Linked DNA regions of Ovis aries. Each later gene encodes a partner of the first gene's protein in a complex. Links are inferred from orthologs where the notes say so. Each region holds a gene or a part of one and is shown in the gene's direction. Other genes may lie near its edges.

Region 1 (3,509 bases):
TCGCCTGGGCCGCCTGTTCTGAGGTACCCTGTGCACACGGAGGGTCTGTGCTGAGCACCTCGTGGCTCTGGGGGTGCACAGGGGCGCCATCTTCAGGCCGGCTGCCCCTGGGGACTGGGGCCCAGGAGGCCCTCTGAGACCCCCACACCACCCGCACAGCCGTGACTCGGGCTTGTGGGCGCCTCTGCTTCTGACCCTGGGGGAGGGTTCGGTTGCCATCAGCTGTCGTCCTCCCGCAGCGGGGCCCCCCCAGATCCCGCGGGGCGGGAGGTGCTTTGGGCTTTTGAGTAAAACTGCTCTGGCTTCCTTTCCAGTAGCATCTCTGGGGAGTGTAGACAGAGATGTCGGTGTAGACAGAGATGTCGTCAAGCATAGCCGAGTTTTCCTGGTGGCTCAGACGGTAAAGCGTCTGCTTACAATGCGGGAGACCCGGGTTCAATCCCTGGGTCGGGAAGGTCCTCTGGAGAAGGAAATGGCAGCCCACTCCAGTACTCTTGCCTGGAAAATCCCATGGACGGAGGAGCCTGGTAGGCTACAGCCTATGGGATTGCAGAGTCAGACACAACTGACCAGACTTCATTCACTCACTCATAGCTGAGTTTATTTTTGACCAGTCAGCTCTTTCCTAAGTGAATTGGTTCTTCTCTTGTTCCTGAAAACAGGCTCGGGTGGGGAGTCAGGAAACAGGATGTGGCTGGGTTGGGGGCTCTGGGGCCTGGGTGTGTGATCAGGCCAGGGGTCCAGGCAGGTGTGCTGAGCGGTCACAGGAGGGGCTGGAGACCTGTCCTGGGCCGGAGGGGAGGCACTTCCTCCCGAGCTGGCTGCCGCCGCCCTTCACAAGCTGCCTCCAGGTGCAGCTCGGGGTCGGAGGCTGAGAGGGGAAAGCCCCACTGTACTGAGCTTAGCTGGCGAGGGGCTGGTGGGCGGTGGCCGGCGGGGGTCCTGGGGGTTCTTCCGCTGGGATGCCTGCTCTTCCTGGCACCTGCACCCTGCCTCCCCTTCAGGTGGCCACCAAGCGGGCTCAGGCCTGGTGCTACAGCAAAAACAACATCCCCTACTTTGAGACCAGCGCCAAGGAGGCCATCAACGTGGAGCAGGCCTTCCAGACGATCGCCCGGAACGCGCTCAAGCAGGTGGGTGTCCGGGGACGGAGCCCTGGCCTGGCCGCCTTGGCCCGCACCTTCTCTCCCCACGGGCTTCCTGTGCAGCCAGAGGTGGTGGCGGGCCTTTGAGAGCGGCCCCGTCCCGCCGTCTGTAAGTCAGCTCCATGGGGGCACACATCGAGGCCACCTCGTGTGGGGCCGCCCTGCTCGGCGTGCTCCTCCTGTTTCAAGATACACTTGAGTTTGAGGCACAGCTCTGCTGCCCGTCTTGGGATCTAGTCTGGTTTTTAAATCCTGTCTGAGCTGTACAATGAGATTGCCCGCTTTCAGGGCGTTTGTGAAGATTCAGTGAGGTGCACCAACTTTGGGAATTATCCTAAACAATCCTCATAAAGGTTAACCCAAAAGGTTCTAGGAGTCATCTTCCTTAGGTAAGGTTCTCCTGCGTTTTCTTTGTGGTGTTTATTCAGATGGTCCCCCTCCCCACCACATACCAGCGGCATCCTGTTGGCCGGTGCCGGGTGAGGGCTCCTCTGACCCCACAGCAGCAGGGCAGTGCTTTCCTCCCTAAACACTCCTGCCCCTAGAGCTCGAGTCGCAGGAGGAAGACTGTCCGACTGGTAAGGGGGCCCCTGGCTGTCCCTGGGGACAGTGGTGACCCTCAGTCCCGGCACCGCGGTGGCGTCGCTGGCGCAGCGCCCATGCTCTGCAGAGGGGCCCCTGCAGCCCTTGCCCGGGCCTCGGCCGTGCGCAGAGGTGGGGCTGAGCTGTGTGTGGTGGGCCTTCTTCTCAGCCTCTCTGGCCACAGTGAAGAACCTGCCGGTGGGTGTGTATTCCGTCTGTGGAGCCCGCTCCCCCGTGTCGCGCTCTCCTTGCGCCGGGCCCCGCCTGCAGCCCACGTGCTCCCTGCACGGCCGTCCTGACCTCACGGCCTCTCCCCTCGCTAGTCGAGGCTTTTCTCTTGGCTCTGTTTGGTTCATTATCCATTTGAACTAAGACTTTCACTCCAGGTGCAACTTTTTCCTCCTCCGTCCTCTCCCCACCACCTACCCCCACAAAAAATAAACCTTCCTGAGGTTCTAACTGTGTCAGCCAGCACCGGGCCCTGGACAGTGCCCACAGGCCGCGTGGCTCAAGGACACACTTATTTCCTGTCGGTTTCGGGGCCACAGGTCCGATCTCGCTGAGGCCTCCATTAAGACAGAACGCAGATGAGCGCTGGTCAGGGCTTGGAGCAATAGGCGGGACAGGCCGCTGCTGCTGGAGCCGGCTCGCCTCCGGGGCCGGGAAGGGCCTGATGGCTTGGGCCTGTGAGCAGACCAGGCTGCAGGGGCACACGCTCAGCCCTCAGGGAGCGAGACCGCCTTAAACTACAGGCAGTCCTGGGCGTGGCCGCTTGCACAGCACTTGTGACCGGAGTGGTTTCCCCAGAGGGCCTCGACCCGCGGGTGCTCCGCGTCTAAGGCACAGGTGAATTCTCTTCCCTAGGAAGCAGGGAGCTGCCCCTCGCTGGAAACGCTAATTCAGCCCAAGTCCCCGTGAAGTGACCCCAGGCCCTGTCCTGTGGGCCCCACACTGAGGGAGTTGTCCTGGGCGGGCCTGGCATGTGCAGCCTTGGGGGCAAGCTCTCCTGAAGGCCTGGAAGAGACAACAGACCTGGGTCCAGAGAGGGGCGCGCAGGGCGAGCTCGCGGGGTCTGTGAGGCTGGGGCCCCAGACCCTGTCCTTGTCAGGCACTGGCAGAAGCTCCCAGAGCGGGCACGTGCAGGTGGAGGGCGCCAGCCTGTCCCTCTTGCCCCTGCCCCGCAGCGTCCCTCGGTGCCCGCCTGGCCCCTCCGCTGTGGGGCCCGCCCCCCTACACCGCAGGACTTGCAGCCACCCCGGGCCCGCGGTCACCGCCTCTCTCCCTGCCCAGGAAACGGAAGTGGAGCTGTACAACGAGTTCCCCGAGCCCATCAAACTGGACAAGAACGACCGCCCCAAGGCCTCGGCCGAGAGCTGCAGCTGCTGAAGAGGCAGAGAGCAGAGCACACAGCCCTCCGCGACCGAGAACACAGGTGCAGGCCTTCCTCCACGAGCCCCTCCTCCCACAGACAGTCATCTCTCGCCCAGCTGCCCGGAGAGCCCAGCACACCGCCGACCCCCGCACACGCCCCACAGACCCACCGCCCGCCCCGCGGGCTCCGCGGCAGCAGCAAGGCCGGAGGCGCACACCCGCCTGGGTGGAGTCTGCGCTGGAAGCTTCTTCCTTTCATCCACTGGAGAGAGAACTGTTTACAGTTAATCTGTGTCTAATTAGTTCTGATTTTTTTAACCGTCTTGTGGTCTTTTTACCCACCCCCTCCTGTGAAGGCCACCACGTGGGAAGGCTGGTGCCCTGCGCTCCATCACAGGCTCACACCCAGTC
Region 2 (4,057 bases), on another chromosome or scaffold:
TGGCCTGTGTATTATTTACATTGGCCTCCTTGGTGGCATAGAGGTAAAGACTCCACTTGCAGCGCTGAAGGCCCAGGTTCCATCCTTGGGTTGGGAAGATCCCCTGCAGAACAAAATGGCAACCCACTCTGGTATTCCCTCCTGAGAAATCCCGTGAACAGAGGACCCCTGCAGGCTATATAGTTCATGCGGTCACAAGAATAAAATATGACTTAGCTGACTAACAAACAACTTTCACACTTTTTAAAAAAATGTGGCCAATATTTTAAAAATTGGAAATTTTACTTAAAAGGCAGATTCCAGTTTTACTAGAAACTCAGAATATTTTCAAACATTCAACCATAGCTGAGACTTTCCTTCTTGGAGGAAGTATGGACAGTCCAGTTCAGTTTCAGCCATTCTCCTACAACTGGCTCACTTCACTCACAGGCATTACCTGCTTGGCCTCTATAGGGACGCCCAAACTCTTCTCATATCCCTTCTCTCCAACATAGTACATACCCATTACTTCTCCTACATTGTCATTCTCTTCTACATTGTCAAAAAATAGCTTTCTAAGCAGGTTTGATCGAATCACTTCTTGATTTGCTCATTGTTCTCAGGATAAAATCCAAACTCAGAATGGCTTCATGATCTTGTCTGCCTGCTCACGCACACCATTCTGTCCCTCACCTCTTCCCAGCTCTGATTACTACTCAGAATCAGCTGTTTCCAAACCAAATTCCTCATGTCTGTGCTTCCTCTTTACCTTCTCTTCCTTTCTCTAGGTTGTCATACTCATCCTAAAAAATTGCTCTGACATCAGTCCTCCAGGAAATCTTTCCGTAAAGCCTTTCCCTTCTGCTCTTCCTTTGTGACACCAAAGCAACCTGAGCTCTTCTGAGTTTGTGAGTTCTATATTAAAATTGTTGACGACCCCAAACACCACCAACAGATGTTAAACCTGGGTAGGCTGAAGTGAGGTTAACCGTTCTTGGATTAAGACCAGCGTTATTTTCGAGTCTAGACCTCTGACTGAGTTTGGCCCCAAGGGTGAAGTGTGACAGGCGTGTGTAAGGGTCCACTCCAGTAGGAACTCTGGATACTACCGCAGCTTTACGTTTCAGGTCCGTACTGCCCGTGAGGCGCACTAGGGAAAGCTACGAGCCAGGGTCTGAAGTCTGCGGCGAGCGCAGCTTCGGATTGGATAAGGCGGTGCATGCCGGTAGCGGCTAGGCCTTCGAAGTGCTTGCTGGGAATTGTAGTTCTCAGAGCCGGAAGTAGGGGGGAGTGGAAGGGATAGAAACCGCGGCTGAGGCAGCAATCAATGCTGCTGCCGTCACCCGGCCGTAGTGCATCACTCTGAGCCCACCTGCCGTGGGTGCCTCCTAGATTCCCGAGGGGCTCTGGGAGCCCTGAGGGGCGAAGCGACAGGGACGCCTCTCTTAAGAGGCGACGTCGCAGCCCCGGATGCGGCCAGAGGGCGCGGGAATGGAGCTTGGCGGCTGCGAGGAGGGCTTGCCGGAGGAGAGCAGGTGAGCTGGGGGAAGTCGCGCGCGGATGGATGCGCTGAAGCCGGGAAGGCTCCCAGAGCACGAGGAGACGGACAGGAGGACTGCTGTTGTGGGCGACTTGTTTGGGAAGAAATTCTGAAACGAGAGACGGGGAGGTTAGATCGGGCGGACGAGGGAACGGGCTTAGGGAGAGAGAAGGAGGGAGGATAGGCTATGTTGAGGGCGGGGGGCGGTGGAGGGCGTGCAGCAGTGGGTAAAATTCAGACCGAGGGCTGCTTCTGGGGAGGAGGTGGACATTGAGAGGTGCTGTGGTGAGATTTCATAGGCCAGAGTCTATAGATAGCAGTAGGGGACAGGGTGGGTGCCCCGGCCGAAACTTGCGGTGACAGCGGTTCAGGCCAGTGTTAAGAAGGTTGAAGTAAGAATTTCTGGGAGCAAAGGTTAGGCATTGTGAGTGGCCTAGACAGAAGCTTACGCAAAATGAGTGTGAGGAGGAAGGCGTGAAGGAGGGCCTGTGGGTGAAAGTGGGCGATTGTAAAGGCAGTGGAATGGGAGTGAGGGCTTGCTAATGAGACTAGCGATTGCGTTCGTGCCCTTTGTCAATGCTGGATCCCTGTCAGACAGTGACAGGACCTCCCTGTATTTAAACCCGGCACTCCTTACCCACATTGCAGCTGAGCGATTTCCCATTTATTTATATGAAACTGCTATCAAGTTCTTACCTTCTAGAAATTACAAAAGCTGAATGTTGGCTTGGACTCCAGCTGTACTTCTGTGTAGGTGTTGCTTCATTAATAACTCTGGTCTTAACCTCTTAAGAATCTGGAATGGACAGGATAGAGCAGGAATGTGGCTTAAGGAAGTCCTTCTTGACTTTTAAAAACATTCAGATGTGGTTAGAGTCTCCGGAGCAGCTAGAATCCAAAGACTGAAATATTTATCTCTGAAAAAATATCAACAGGGGAAAATTAATGAGATTTTGTACATAGGTGAAGACCTGGCTAGTTTAAAGAGTGACTCCTCTTTTACCTGCCTGTGGCCTGCTGTACAAAACCTAGGATGACAGGACTTGGGGTTACTGCATGAGATCTGTAAATGATGTGTTCAGTGAAACTGAAGAGCCTACTTCCCTTTTCCATGTTTCAGTTTCTGCTTATGTATATTTGGCTCTTTATTCTTCCTCCAGATGCTTCTTGTAAAAAGTCTTATATACTTTCTAAACAAATTTTAGGATTATTTTTATTTTCCTCTACCAGTTCATGTAGGAGAGGCTAGGTTGGAAATTCAGATTTCCTCCCAGCTGAGTTATTTATTTATTTAATGTATTTAACAAATACTTATTTACTACATGCCAGGCATTGCTTAAGAGCCTTACAAGTGTTATTAAATCCTCATAACAGCTGGATGAGATAGGTACTATATTATTACCATTTGACAGGTGAGGCAGCTAAGACCTAGACAGGATAAATAATTTGCCAAGGTCATACAGTAAATCCTTGGTGGGACTGGGATTCAGGCAGGCTCTACTTCTGGTATCTATGCTATACTACCTCTCACTGTTCTAATCTGCTGGGACAAAGAAATGTATAAGGTAATAAATTTTGTAGCATTCTTTGCCTGTCATTAACGTTACTAAGGCTTCTCCTTTGCAGGTATCTTTTTCTGTTATTCTTTCCATGCTTGCTTCTTTACCAATGAACTTTAGTCAAAACTTAATTTCAGCATTGGGATTATCCTCATGAAATCACTCTTAATGTTAACATAGCCTACTCTCTGTTGGTGATTAGTGAACTTAGAATAATTTATTTAATGGGACTTCGTGGCACCGATGGCCTCTTTAGTTCTGGGTAGTCAAATGGTAAATGAAATACATGACTTGTGCCTGAGAATTGAGGCACTGTGGCTGGATCACTGCAAACTTAACCTTTCTTTGGCCAATAAAACACCCAATTCAGAAGACATCTTCTTGATGAGATGGCATCATTTTTTAAAATATATGAAAGATAAAATTATATTCTGAAACCAGTTGATGGAGTGAAATGTGCATAAGTTTATAGCCAGGTAGAGCTGCATTTGAATTCTAGCTCTACTGCTTAACTTGACTTATCCAGCCTGAATGGGAAGAATGATGCCTTCCTGACTGGTGAGGATTCAGTAAGATAATGTGAAAAAAGCTCCTCAGAGAGTGCTGATATGTACTGAAGGCAGAAAATGTCTACTTCCTTCCCCTCCCCAGTTTTCTTGAAATAAGATGAGCATGTGTTCTTCCAGTTGCTGTTTGCAATGATATTATTGCTTGTGCTTCCTCCTTCCATGGTTTCTCTATCCAAATTGAACAAACTGGGGACTGGGGTGTTGGCCCAGAATTTTTTTTTTTTTTTTTTTAATTTGACTGCATCCAGTCTTAGTTGGGGCAAATGGGATCTTTCATTGTGATGCACAGACTCTCTAGTTGTGGCACCTGGGCTCAGTAGTTGCAGGGCACAAGCTTAGTTGCTTGGTGGCATGTGGAACCTTAGTTCCCCAACCAGGAGTAGAACTCAAGTCCGCTGCGTTGCAAGGCA
Region 3 (4,000 bases), on another chromosome or scaffold:
TTGTGTTGTCCCTGTGGTTGGAGCACAAAAGCATTTATGATGTAACCAGAGGGCAGGGGGAGTAACATTGTTGCTGGGCAACCTGGCTTCATTAACTCTATGGCTTTCCTCAAGGGGCTACCCTGTGCAAAATTTCCTAAAGTCTTTCCTCACCTCCCCCTCCCTCTTTCCCAACTCCCCCTTCCTGTGCCCCAGAGAACCAATCAGCCCCCTTCCAACTCTAGCCATCTTGTTGTCCTAGTGCAGAGTGGTGACCGAGGACTTAGGGTTTAGTTTTAGACAAACCAGGCTCCATTGTGTAACCCAGCAACTTCCTTTGCCTCTGTGCCAGCGTCTGCATTTGTAAAACGGATGCTGGCTAACTAAAACTGATGGCTAACTAAAACTGTCTCTTAAATGGACTAAATGTGGCAATACACTCAGGGGCTTAACGCACTCCAAGAGCTTGACGGTGACTATTCATCTTCCAATCATCTAGCAAGTTCATCTCACTCCTCATTCATTCCTTGTAGCGGTTCTTTTCTGTCCTTCTGGTTTAAATCTCAAATATCTATCTAGGTTAGTTCGCATCTGAAGCTTTTTTTTTTGGTTTGTCCCTCCTTCCCAGGGCCCACCCTCTGCGGACGCAGAGCGTGTTGGTCAGGCTGATGGTCGGTTACGGCAGTCTCCGAGGCAATGCAATCTTGTCCTCGGCTTGGAAAGTCTCCGAACCGCTAGCTCAGATCTTCTGCGGCGCGGCCCTGCATGGAAAGCCGCCAGCCCATTCTCAGGGGCGCGAGTGGAAGAATCACACTGCAGCAGAGGTAACAGACAGGGATCGAGGCCAATGAAGGGGGATGGGCGCATTAGAAGATAACGGGATGACCGGGATCAAGAACACGCCGCCACGCCCTCTCCGCCCGGCCTCTTCTCCTCCAGCCGGTGGCCCCAGTTATCCCCCTAGATCCGGACAGCGGCTTCCGAAGTGACAGCCACGTGGACTGCGGGGGACTAGAATGTTGCCGTGGGGGGCGGGGCTGGAAGGGCGCCTGAGAGGTGAAGAAGGACCCGCGTACGCATGCTCGGGCGCCGGCTGCCAGGCGACGCCGCCGGGAGCGAGTACGCTCCTGACGTCAGGCGCCGCTCGTCCAATGAGCGGCGGTCGGAGGGAGGCGCCGTTCCGCCCCCTCCCGCCTCCGCCGCCGCCTCCGCCGCCACCACGGCAGCCGCCTCCGGGAGTGTCTGAGGGGGCGCGGGGCCGCCGCAGGCTCGGGCGCCGCATCGCGCGGTCCGGAGCCGCCGGACGAGGCCCAGCGTGCCGCTTGCTCCGACCCCCGCCGCCCGATGTCCTCAAGATGGAGGCAGCGGGGAGGGCGGCGTGAAGAAAGCGGCGCTGTGGGCGCTGGGGCAAGGGCCCGGGCGTCCCGGGCGGAGGCGGCGGCGGCGGCGGCGGCGGGATGGGGCTGCTTCTCATGATCCTGGCGTCGGCCGTGCTGGGCTCCTTCCTCACGCTGCTCACCCAGTTCCTGCTGCTCTACCGCAAACAGCCCGAGCCGCCGCCGGACGAGGCCGCCCGCGCGGCCGACGGCTTCCGCTACATCAAGCCGGTGCCGGGCCTGCCCCTGAGAGAGTACCTTTATGGCGGCGGCGGCGGCGGGGCTGAGGAGCCCTCTGGCGGGCCCCCCGAGGGCGGCGCGACCCCTGCCCCCGAGACCCCCGTCCCGCCGACGCGGGAGACCTGCTACTTCCTCAACGCCATCATCCTGTTCTTGTTCCGGGAGCTGCGGGACACCGCACTGGCCCGCCGCTGGGTCACCAAGAAGATCAAGGTGGAGTTCGAGGAGCTGCTGCAGACCAAGACGGCTGGGCGCCTGCTGGAGGGACTGAGCCTGCGGGAGGTGTTCCTGGGCGAGACCGTGCCCTTCATCAAGACCATCCGGCTCCTCCGGCCCGTGGCGCCCTCGGCCACCGGGGAGCCCGACGGCCCCGAGGGGGAGGCGCTGCCCCCCGCCACCACCCCCGAGGAGCTGGCCTTCGAAGCGGAGGTGGAGTACAACGGGGGCTTCCACCTGGCCATCGACGTGGACTTGGTCTTCGGCAAGTCCGCTTACCTGTTCGTCAAGCTCTCACGGGTGGTGGGGAGGCTGCGCTTCGTCCTCACCCGCGTGCCCTTCACCCACTGGTTCTTCTCCTTCGTGGAGGACCCGCTGATCGACTTCGAGGTGCGCTCCCAGTTCGAAGGGCGGCCCCTGCCCCAGCTCACCTCCTTCATCGTCAACCAGCTCAAGAAGATCATCAAGCGCAAGCACACCCTTCCGAGTTACAAGATCAGGTGAGAGGAAGGTTGCGGGGGAAGGTCGCCCGGGCGCTAGGGCCCCCTGGCTGCTGGGACCCTGAGCCTGGCAGGGCACTGCCTCCGTCGTTGGGTGGGAAGGGCAAAGACTTATACAGCCCCTGCTTTCCAGGGCTCTTCCCCACCCTGGACGGGGCCCTCGATTAAGTGCCCACATTCTTTGCTTCCGAAGGGCATTAATAAGGAGCTGGAAGCCTTTCCGTGTGCTCTTGGTCATCCACGGTGCTGTCAGCGCGGGTCGAAGCAGCATATTGAAAATGGAAGGGAAGTCCCTCCTTCCCCGGACGGCTCTGGGACTGTTGAGAAACTATTTCTCTAGGTGGTTGCTGCATTGAGGGCAGCCTTGCAGCATCGCCTCGGCCACACTGAGAAATTGTTCGCGGATACCAAGTACAGGCATGAGGAGTGTGCTGGGAGCCCAGAGCTGTTGTATTTTGCAACCGCAGGCCAGTTTTGCCGTGGGTGCTTTGGCAACTTTCAAGGCAGAGGCAGCATCTATCGGAAAGGAATACTTTTCCACTGCAAATTGAAAACGAGTTGGGAGCCTATACATCTTGTACTTCTCTGTACCTTTTGTGTTAATGTCGTCTAGGGTAAATTCTGTAGCACAACCCCAGGCTGCCCCGTGACCTTTCAACTCTACTTGGCTGTAGGCTCCTCCCACAGTACCTGAAATTGCCCAACAGGTAGTATTTTAAGATGGGTAGTGATTTTAACTTTGTAAAACCTACCTATATTTGGCGGCTTGATTTTTGTGTAGTATACTATTTTGATTAATGTACAAGGGTTTGGGTTTTTATTTATTTTTAATATCGTAAAAGTGGAAGGGGAAAATAAGTTTTGTGGGGCTAGAGTCGGTGTTGAAGGGTCATATGTGGTCATTCTAAAACAGATAAATTTTTAATTTTACTTTAAGTGTTTAACCCTTTTGGATTTTGTTCTTTACCATAAAATTATGTCAGTCTGGTATTTGGCTTACCTAGTTCCCTTTAGTGGAAGTTACATGTTTCTAGATCACTAACTTGCTACCACAGTTTAAAACATCAATGACCCAGGTAATTCAGGAATGTTTTATGTTTGGGACAGAGTATTGACTTGTGTTATGTGGCAGGTTTACCTTAGTAATTGTGTTTGTTTAGGCTAATAGCACAGTGACAGCTTAAAACAGTCAGGTGGCAGAAATTTATAATGGAAAAGTTCCATAGATTTGCAGAAGATGGTGAACTGATCACTGTCTTGATTTCCTGTTCTGTGAAGTAGAACATATTTTATGAAGCCTGCTCTTTCAGCTCTGGAATATGTGACTAAATTCTCAATGAATTGCAGTGTTTAAGCAGTGAGGTGTTTATAGCAGTGTGTGGCTGAGAAAGTCATGAGAGAAAGTTGTTACAGATTTTGATATGTTTTCACAACTTCAGTTCTAATATTTTCTAAGTGGCTTTAAGATGCCAAAGACTTGACTAAGCTGTTACTAATATTTGGGGGTTATTTGCAGGATAGCCAGTGGTAACGGAGAAGGCAATGGCGCCCCACTCCAGTACTCTTGCCTGAAAACCCCATGGATGGAGGAGCCTGGTAGGCTGCAGTCCATGGGGCAGCTGAGCGACTTCACTTTCACGAATTGGAAAAGGAAATGGCAACCCACTCCAGTGTTCTTGCCTGGAGAAT
Region 4 (3,975 bases), on another chromosome or scaffold:
GGTGCACAGGAAAGTGGGGATGAGGTTAGGCCACCGCCCTTAGCACTTGGGCCCAGATTCTGGTTTAGAGATGGCCCAGGGACCCAGGCTGGGTGAGGCAGGTGGACCTTGCCAACGTTGGCCTCTTCCTTCTCCTCCAAGGTGTCCGGCATGATCCCAACATGAAGTACGAGCTGCAGCTGGCAAATCCCAAAGAGTTCTACCACGAGGTGCACCGGCCCTCCCACTTCCTCAACTTCGCTCTCCTGCAGGAGGGCGAGGTCTACTCTGCGGACCGAGAGGACCTCTATGCGTAGTCGTCTCCTCACCTCTTGCTCCAGCCTTCTGGTCAAGGCTAGAGCCTGTGGCCCCACAGACAAGCTGGTGACATTCAGCAGCTTGGCCCCTTCTTCTCTCTTCTGTGCTTGTGATGTTGTTGACCTCCTGGTGACTTGTAATTGTGAAAAAGTATAATAATAAATTTTGTATAAATAGGAGGTTTTGAAGCTTTTTTTCCCCTGAGCTCAGATTCTGGATGTAGGGATGGCAGAAGCCAGACATGTTCTCTGCAAGCTGCTGGACTGAGCCTTGAGTCCCCCTGTTTGGAGCTGTGGGGATAAATATCCTCTAAGCTCAGTGAGCTGAAGGGAAGTTGGGCTTTCACACCCCTGCTGCTATGACCACATTTGCCAGTTTTACCCCAAATACTTGTAAACGCTCACCGCTTTTCAGCATCTCTTGGAGCAGTCACTATTTTGAGTGTAGAAGCTCCTGGCTTGTTCTCTGTAGCTGCAGAGCCCAGCTTAGCCCCTTAAGCTTTGTGTCACTCTCAGCCTGTCCTGGAAATAGGCACACGGCTGGACAGTTGGCTGCCGCTGGCTGAGGTCAGTGACAGCCCGCCTACCTCTCACCTCTGGGCTGGAGAGTTGGCAGCCAAGTCAGGCCCCATGACTCTAGACACAGGGGTGGAGCCTGGTGTGGACACTGGGGAGGGCTTGACGAAAGTGACCACTTACAGCCCTGGGCCTCAGCTCCTGGACGCCTGGCTGGAATGTCCTACTTCCTGTGACCTTGGGGGCTTTAACAGGGCCCTGAGACTCTTACAGCCTTTTCCCTGAATCGCTCCTCCCTTGTCGCTTCTACCCCGCCCTCTACTGTCCTAAGCCGCTTCCTGGGCCAGGACTGATTGGCTTTTTCCTGCCTCAGTTGGGGGAGGAGGGTGTCGCAGCCCTGGTCGCCTTCGGGGGACATGGAGCCCAGAAGGGCGGCGCCTGGGGCGCATGGCTCCGGGCCTCGGGTGGCCGCGGGATCGGGGACGGCCGCGGAGCTCGTGTACCACCTAGCGGGGGCCCTGGGCGCTGAGCTGCAGGAGCTGGCGCGCCGCTTCGGGCCGGAGGCCGCAGCCGGACTCGTTCCGCTGGTGGTGCAGGCGCTGGAGCTCCTGGAAAAGGCTGCCGTGGGGCCCGCCCCGGACTCGGTAAGTCATGGCGCCCTTCCCCAGCCGCCCGCCTGGGCCAGCGGGGGCTGGCCTAACAGCGCGGCCTTCCCAGCTGCAGGTATCCGCACAGCAGGCGGAACTCGAGCTGCGGCGGCTGCGAGAGGAGAACGAGCGCCTCCGCAGAGAGCTGCGCTCTGGACCACAGGGTGAGTGCGGGCTTGCAGGGCTCCGTGGTCGGGGCGGCGCAGGGCTCCCCCTCTCGCGGGCCCGCCGCTGAGAACGCCCCTTCCTCAGAGGAGCGCGCTCTGCTGCGGCAGCTCAAGGAGGTGACCGACCGCCAGCGGGACGAACTCCGGGCGTACAACCGCGACCTGCTGCAGCGAAGCCAGGAGACCGAGGCGGTGAGGGCGGGGCGGGGCGACGTGCCGGGGGCGGGACCCTGCCGGCCCTCAGGTGCCCCGCCCACCAGCCCCTTGGCTCCGCCCACAGTTGCAGGAGCAGCTGCAGCGCCTCCTGCTGGTGAATGCGGAGTTGCGGCAGAAATTGGCCGCGGTACAAACCCAGCTACGCGCTGCGCGGGACCGCGAGAGCGAACGAGAGCAGCGGCGCGAAGCGGCCGTGGAGCCGCCTCCAGAACCGGTTCAGGGCCAGGCCGCTGGACCCGAGTGCGAGCAGAGGCGGGAGTCCGAGCGGGCGACCGCGGGCACAAGAGCCCCGGGGACCCCCGAGGACCCGGTGAGTGCCCTATGAGGGAACGGTCCGGCTCTCGGTGGGCACTCGGGAAAGTTTTGCCGTACTGCGTGGCAGGGCCAACAGGCTAGCTAGAAGGTGGTTACGAGTGTGCGCCACCAGCCGGCCTCCTCCCCTACTCAGCCAGAGCCCCGGCCTGGCACCCATGGTAGCGCCCTGGCCTCCCAAGGCTCCCTGCCCAACCGAGGTGCCCACTGCCCAAGGCGTCCCTGTCCAACCTAGGCGCCACTGACCAAGCCTGTCCTTCCACAGGCGGATGCCCCGCTGCCGCCAGGGCTCCCCGCCAAGGCAGGGCAGTGCGGCTTCAGTCGAGAGGAGGTTCAGCAGATCCTTCAGGAGCGGAATGAGCTCAAAGCCAACTTGTTCCTGCTGAAGGAGGAGCTGGCCTACTTCCAGCGGTGAGGGCGCCAGGCAGGGCCCAGAGGCTCGGGGGCGCCAGGCGCACCTGTTCCCTGGCCTCGGTTCACCCGCCTCATTCTTTGAGTGGTTGATACATCTATGGTGTCGTGTGCCAGGCACCATGCTGGGCACTGGAGGACGGGAGTCACATAGTCCCTGCCCTCCTGGATCTTCTTTCATACCGGGGAGGGCCAGTGCTGAGGGTCAGCAGCAGCGGCTGTCAAGGAAGTACTCCCAGGAGGGGTGACACCTAAGCTTAGGGGCAGAGGGGTTAGCAAGGCAGAGTGTTCCCAAAAGGGGAAACAACATGCACAGGTACTTGAGTCTAGACCTATTCTTAGTATCCCCACTGCTTTGTCTCTGCCCTTCCTCCTCCTCTGTAGGGAGCTGCTGACAGCCCACCGGGTCCCTGGGCTTCTGCTCGGAGCCATGAAGGTAGCTGTCAAGAAGCAGCGGAAGAAGATCAAGGCCAAAATGTTAGGGACTCCAGAGGAAGCAGAGAGCAGGTAAGTCCCGGCCTCCATTCCCACTGAGCCTGGTCACCTTCTGAACCCATTGCCTCAGACTGCGCTTGTCACCTAGCTTAGCCACCTCTGGAACCTGCTAACCTGGCCTGGTCACCCCCCCGCCCACCCACAAGCCTGCCGTGCTGAGCCCACCGCCTTCTCGCTGGGTCACGGCTGCTCCCGCCTGCCCTGCTCGCTGCGCATCCTGACTCTGCTTCTCCACAGTCGGTTTCAGTTTCTTTGGTTTCTTGTCTTGGCTGCATCTGCTTGTTCCCAGGCAGGTGAAGGTAAGGCTGTAGCTGCAGGCCCTGTCCACGGCCTGCCATGTATCTGGCTAGAAAATGAAAGCCCTAAGATGTCCTCTGTCTCCCCAGATTTCCCTTCTCTCCAGTTTCTTTTTTAACTTTTTATTTTATGTCGGCGTATCGTGGATTAACAGTGTTGCGTGACAGTTTCAGGCGCACAGCAGAGTGATCCAGTTTCCTTCACTCCAGCTTTGCGGGCCCCAAAGTCGCTCTGTCCTCCCCTTCCTGCTCCTGGGGGCTGCACAGAAGGCTGAACGTAGTGGACTCCCCTTGGCCCTCAGGGCCTTGATAAAGGACCCTCACGTCTCCTCTCCTCTCTTTGCTCTTCTCCGCCTCAGTGACGATGATGATGGCTCATGGCTCCTGCTCTCCAGCGATAAGGGAGACCATTCTGAACCCCCAGCCCCTGAGTCCAGAATACGGAGTTTGTATGTTGAGGAAGGGAAGGACAAATGTGGTGGGGGTGGAGGGTGGAGGGGCCCACCTTCCCTCCTGCTGCCCTAAGCGAGCAGCATGCCCGTACCCTCCTGCTCCCCTGGTGGCCCCTTTACCGTCCCCTGCCTCGTGCTGCCCTTTCTTGCTCTGGGTCCCCTTTTTG

The links. The genes of interacting proteins can lie anywhere in the genome.
Region 2: the proteins of RAB7A (region 1) and RUBCN are in contact, whole or in part, in a crystal structure (PDB 6WCW), measured with the Homo sapiens proteins. The link is inferred for Ovis aries from reciprocal best matches to the Homo sapiens genes RAB7A and RUBCN. Residues at the interface, in NP_004628.4 of Homo sapiens: Ile41, Gly42, Ala43, Asp44, Trp62, Gln71, Ser72, Leu73, Gly74, Val75, Ala76, Phe77, Arg79, Ser101, Asp104, Glu105, Ile108, Gln109, Ser111; in NP_055502.1 of Homo sapiens: His818, Asn821, Met822, Lys824, Thr825, Arg827, Leu883, Gln885, Ala886, Lys887, Gly888, Phe889, Ile890, Glu892, Gln895, Glu897, Ile900, Pro903, Cys915, Lys916, Arg931, Arg934, Arg938.
Region 3: the proteins of RAB7A (region 1) and PDZD8 are in contact, whole or in part, in a crystal structure (PDB 7F6J), measured with the Homo sapiens proteins. The link is inferred for Ovis aries from reciprocal best matches to the Homo sapiens genes RAB7A and PDZD8. Residues at the interface, in NP_004628.4 of Homo sapiens: Lys10, Leu14, Asp16, Ser17, Lys38, Ile41, Gly42, Ala43, Asp44, Phe45, Gln60, Trp62, Gly66, Glu68, Arg69, Phe70, Gln71, Ser72, Leu73, Gly74, Val75, Ala76, Phe77, Tyr78, Arg79, Thr98, Ser101, Trp102, Glu105, Phe106; in NP_776152.1 of Homo sapiens: Ile999, Lys1000, Leu1001, Val1002, Arg1003, Lys1004, Glu1005, Gly1007, Leu1008, Asp1009, Asp1010, Phe1013, Ile1014, Lys1017, Gln1044, Leu1051, Asn1054, Asn1055, Val1058, Leu1077, Leu1084, Gln1085, Thr1088, Ile1092.
Region 4: the proteins of RAB7A (region 1) and RILP are in contact, whole or in part, in a crystal structure (PDB 1YHN), measured with the Homo sapiens proteins. The link is inferred for Ovis aries from reciprocal best matches to the Homo sapiens genes RAB7A and RILP. Residues at the interface, in NP_004628.4 of Homo sapiens: Ser3, Lys6, Leu8, Ile41, Gly42, Ala43, Asp44, Phe45, Leu46, Thr47, Thr58, Trp62, Ser72, Leu73, Val75, Leu182, Tyr183, Asn184, Glu185; in NP_113618.2 of Homo sapiens: Phe248, Glu249, Leu252, Gln253, Arg255, Asn256, Lys259, Ala260, Phe263, Leu264, Glu267, Glu268, Tyr271, Arg274, Glu275.

The regions. Positions count from the first base shown.
Region 1 is NC_056072.1:59,079,761-59,083,269, reverse strand, and holds the end of RAB7A (ras-related protein Rab-7a), read left to right. Parts: intron 1-1,004; coding exon 1,005-1,133; intron 1,134-3,017; coding exon 3,018-3,113; downstream 3,114-3,509.
Region 2 is NC_056054.1:191,231,360-191,235,416, forward strand, and holds the start of RUBCN (run domain Beclin-1-interacting and cysteine-rich domain-containing protein), read left to right. Parts: upstream 1-1,249; 5' UTR 1,250-1,449; coding exon 1,450-1,514; intron 1,515-4,057.
Region 3 is NC_056075.1:37,219,589-37,223,588, reverse strand, and holds the start of PDZD8 (PDZ domain-containing protein 8), read left to right. Parts: upstream 1-1,192; 5' UTR 1,193-1,436; coding exon 1,437-2,311; intron 2,312-4,000. UniProt on the Homo sapiens protein: Molecular tethering protein that connects endoplasmic reticulum and mitochondria membranes. PDZD8-dependent endoplasmic reticulum-mitochondria membrane tethering is essential for endoplasmic reticulum-mitochondria Ca(2+) transfer.
Region 4 is NC_056064.1:22,644,617-22,648,591, reverse strand, and holds the start of RILP (rab-interacting lysosomal protein), read left to right. Parts: upstream 1-1,167; 5' UTR 1,168-1,228; coding exon 1,229-1,456; intron 1,457-1,529; coding exon 1,530-1,623; intron 1,624-1,711; coding exon 1,712-1,818; intron 1,819-1,906; coding exon 1,907-2,152; intron 2,153-2,419; coding exon 2,420-2,565; intron 2,566-2,949; coding exon 2,950-3,072; intron 3,073-3,715; coding exon 3,716-3,805; intron 3,806-3,975. Other genes in the region: PRPF8 (pre-mRNA-processing-splicing factor 8), read left to right, coding at 142-296. UniProt on the Homo sapiens protein: Rab effector playing a role in late endocytic transport to degradative compartments. Involved in the regulation of lysosomal morphology and distribution.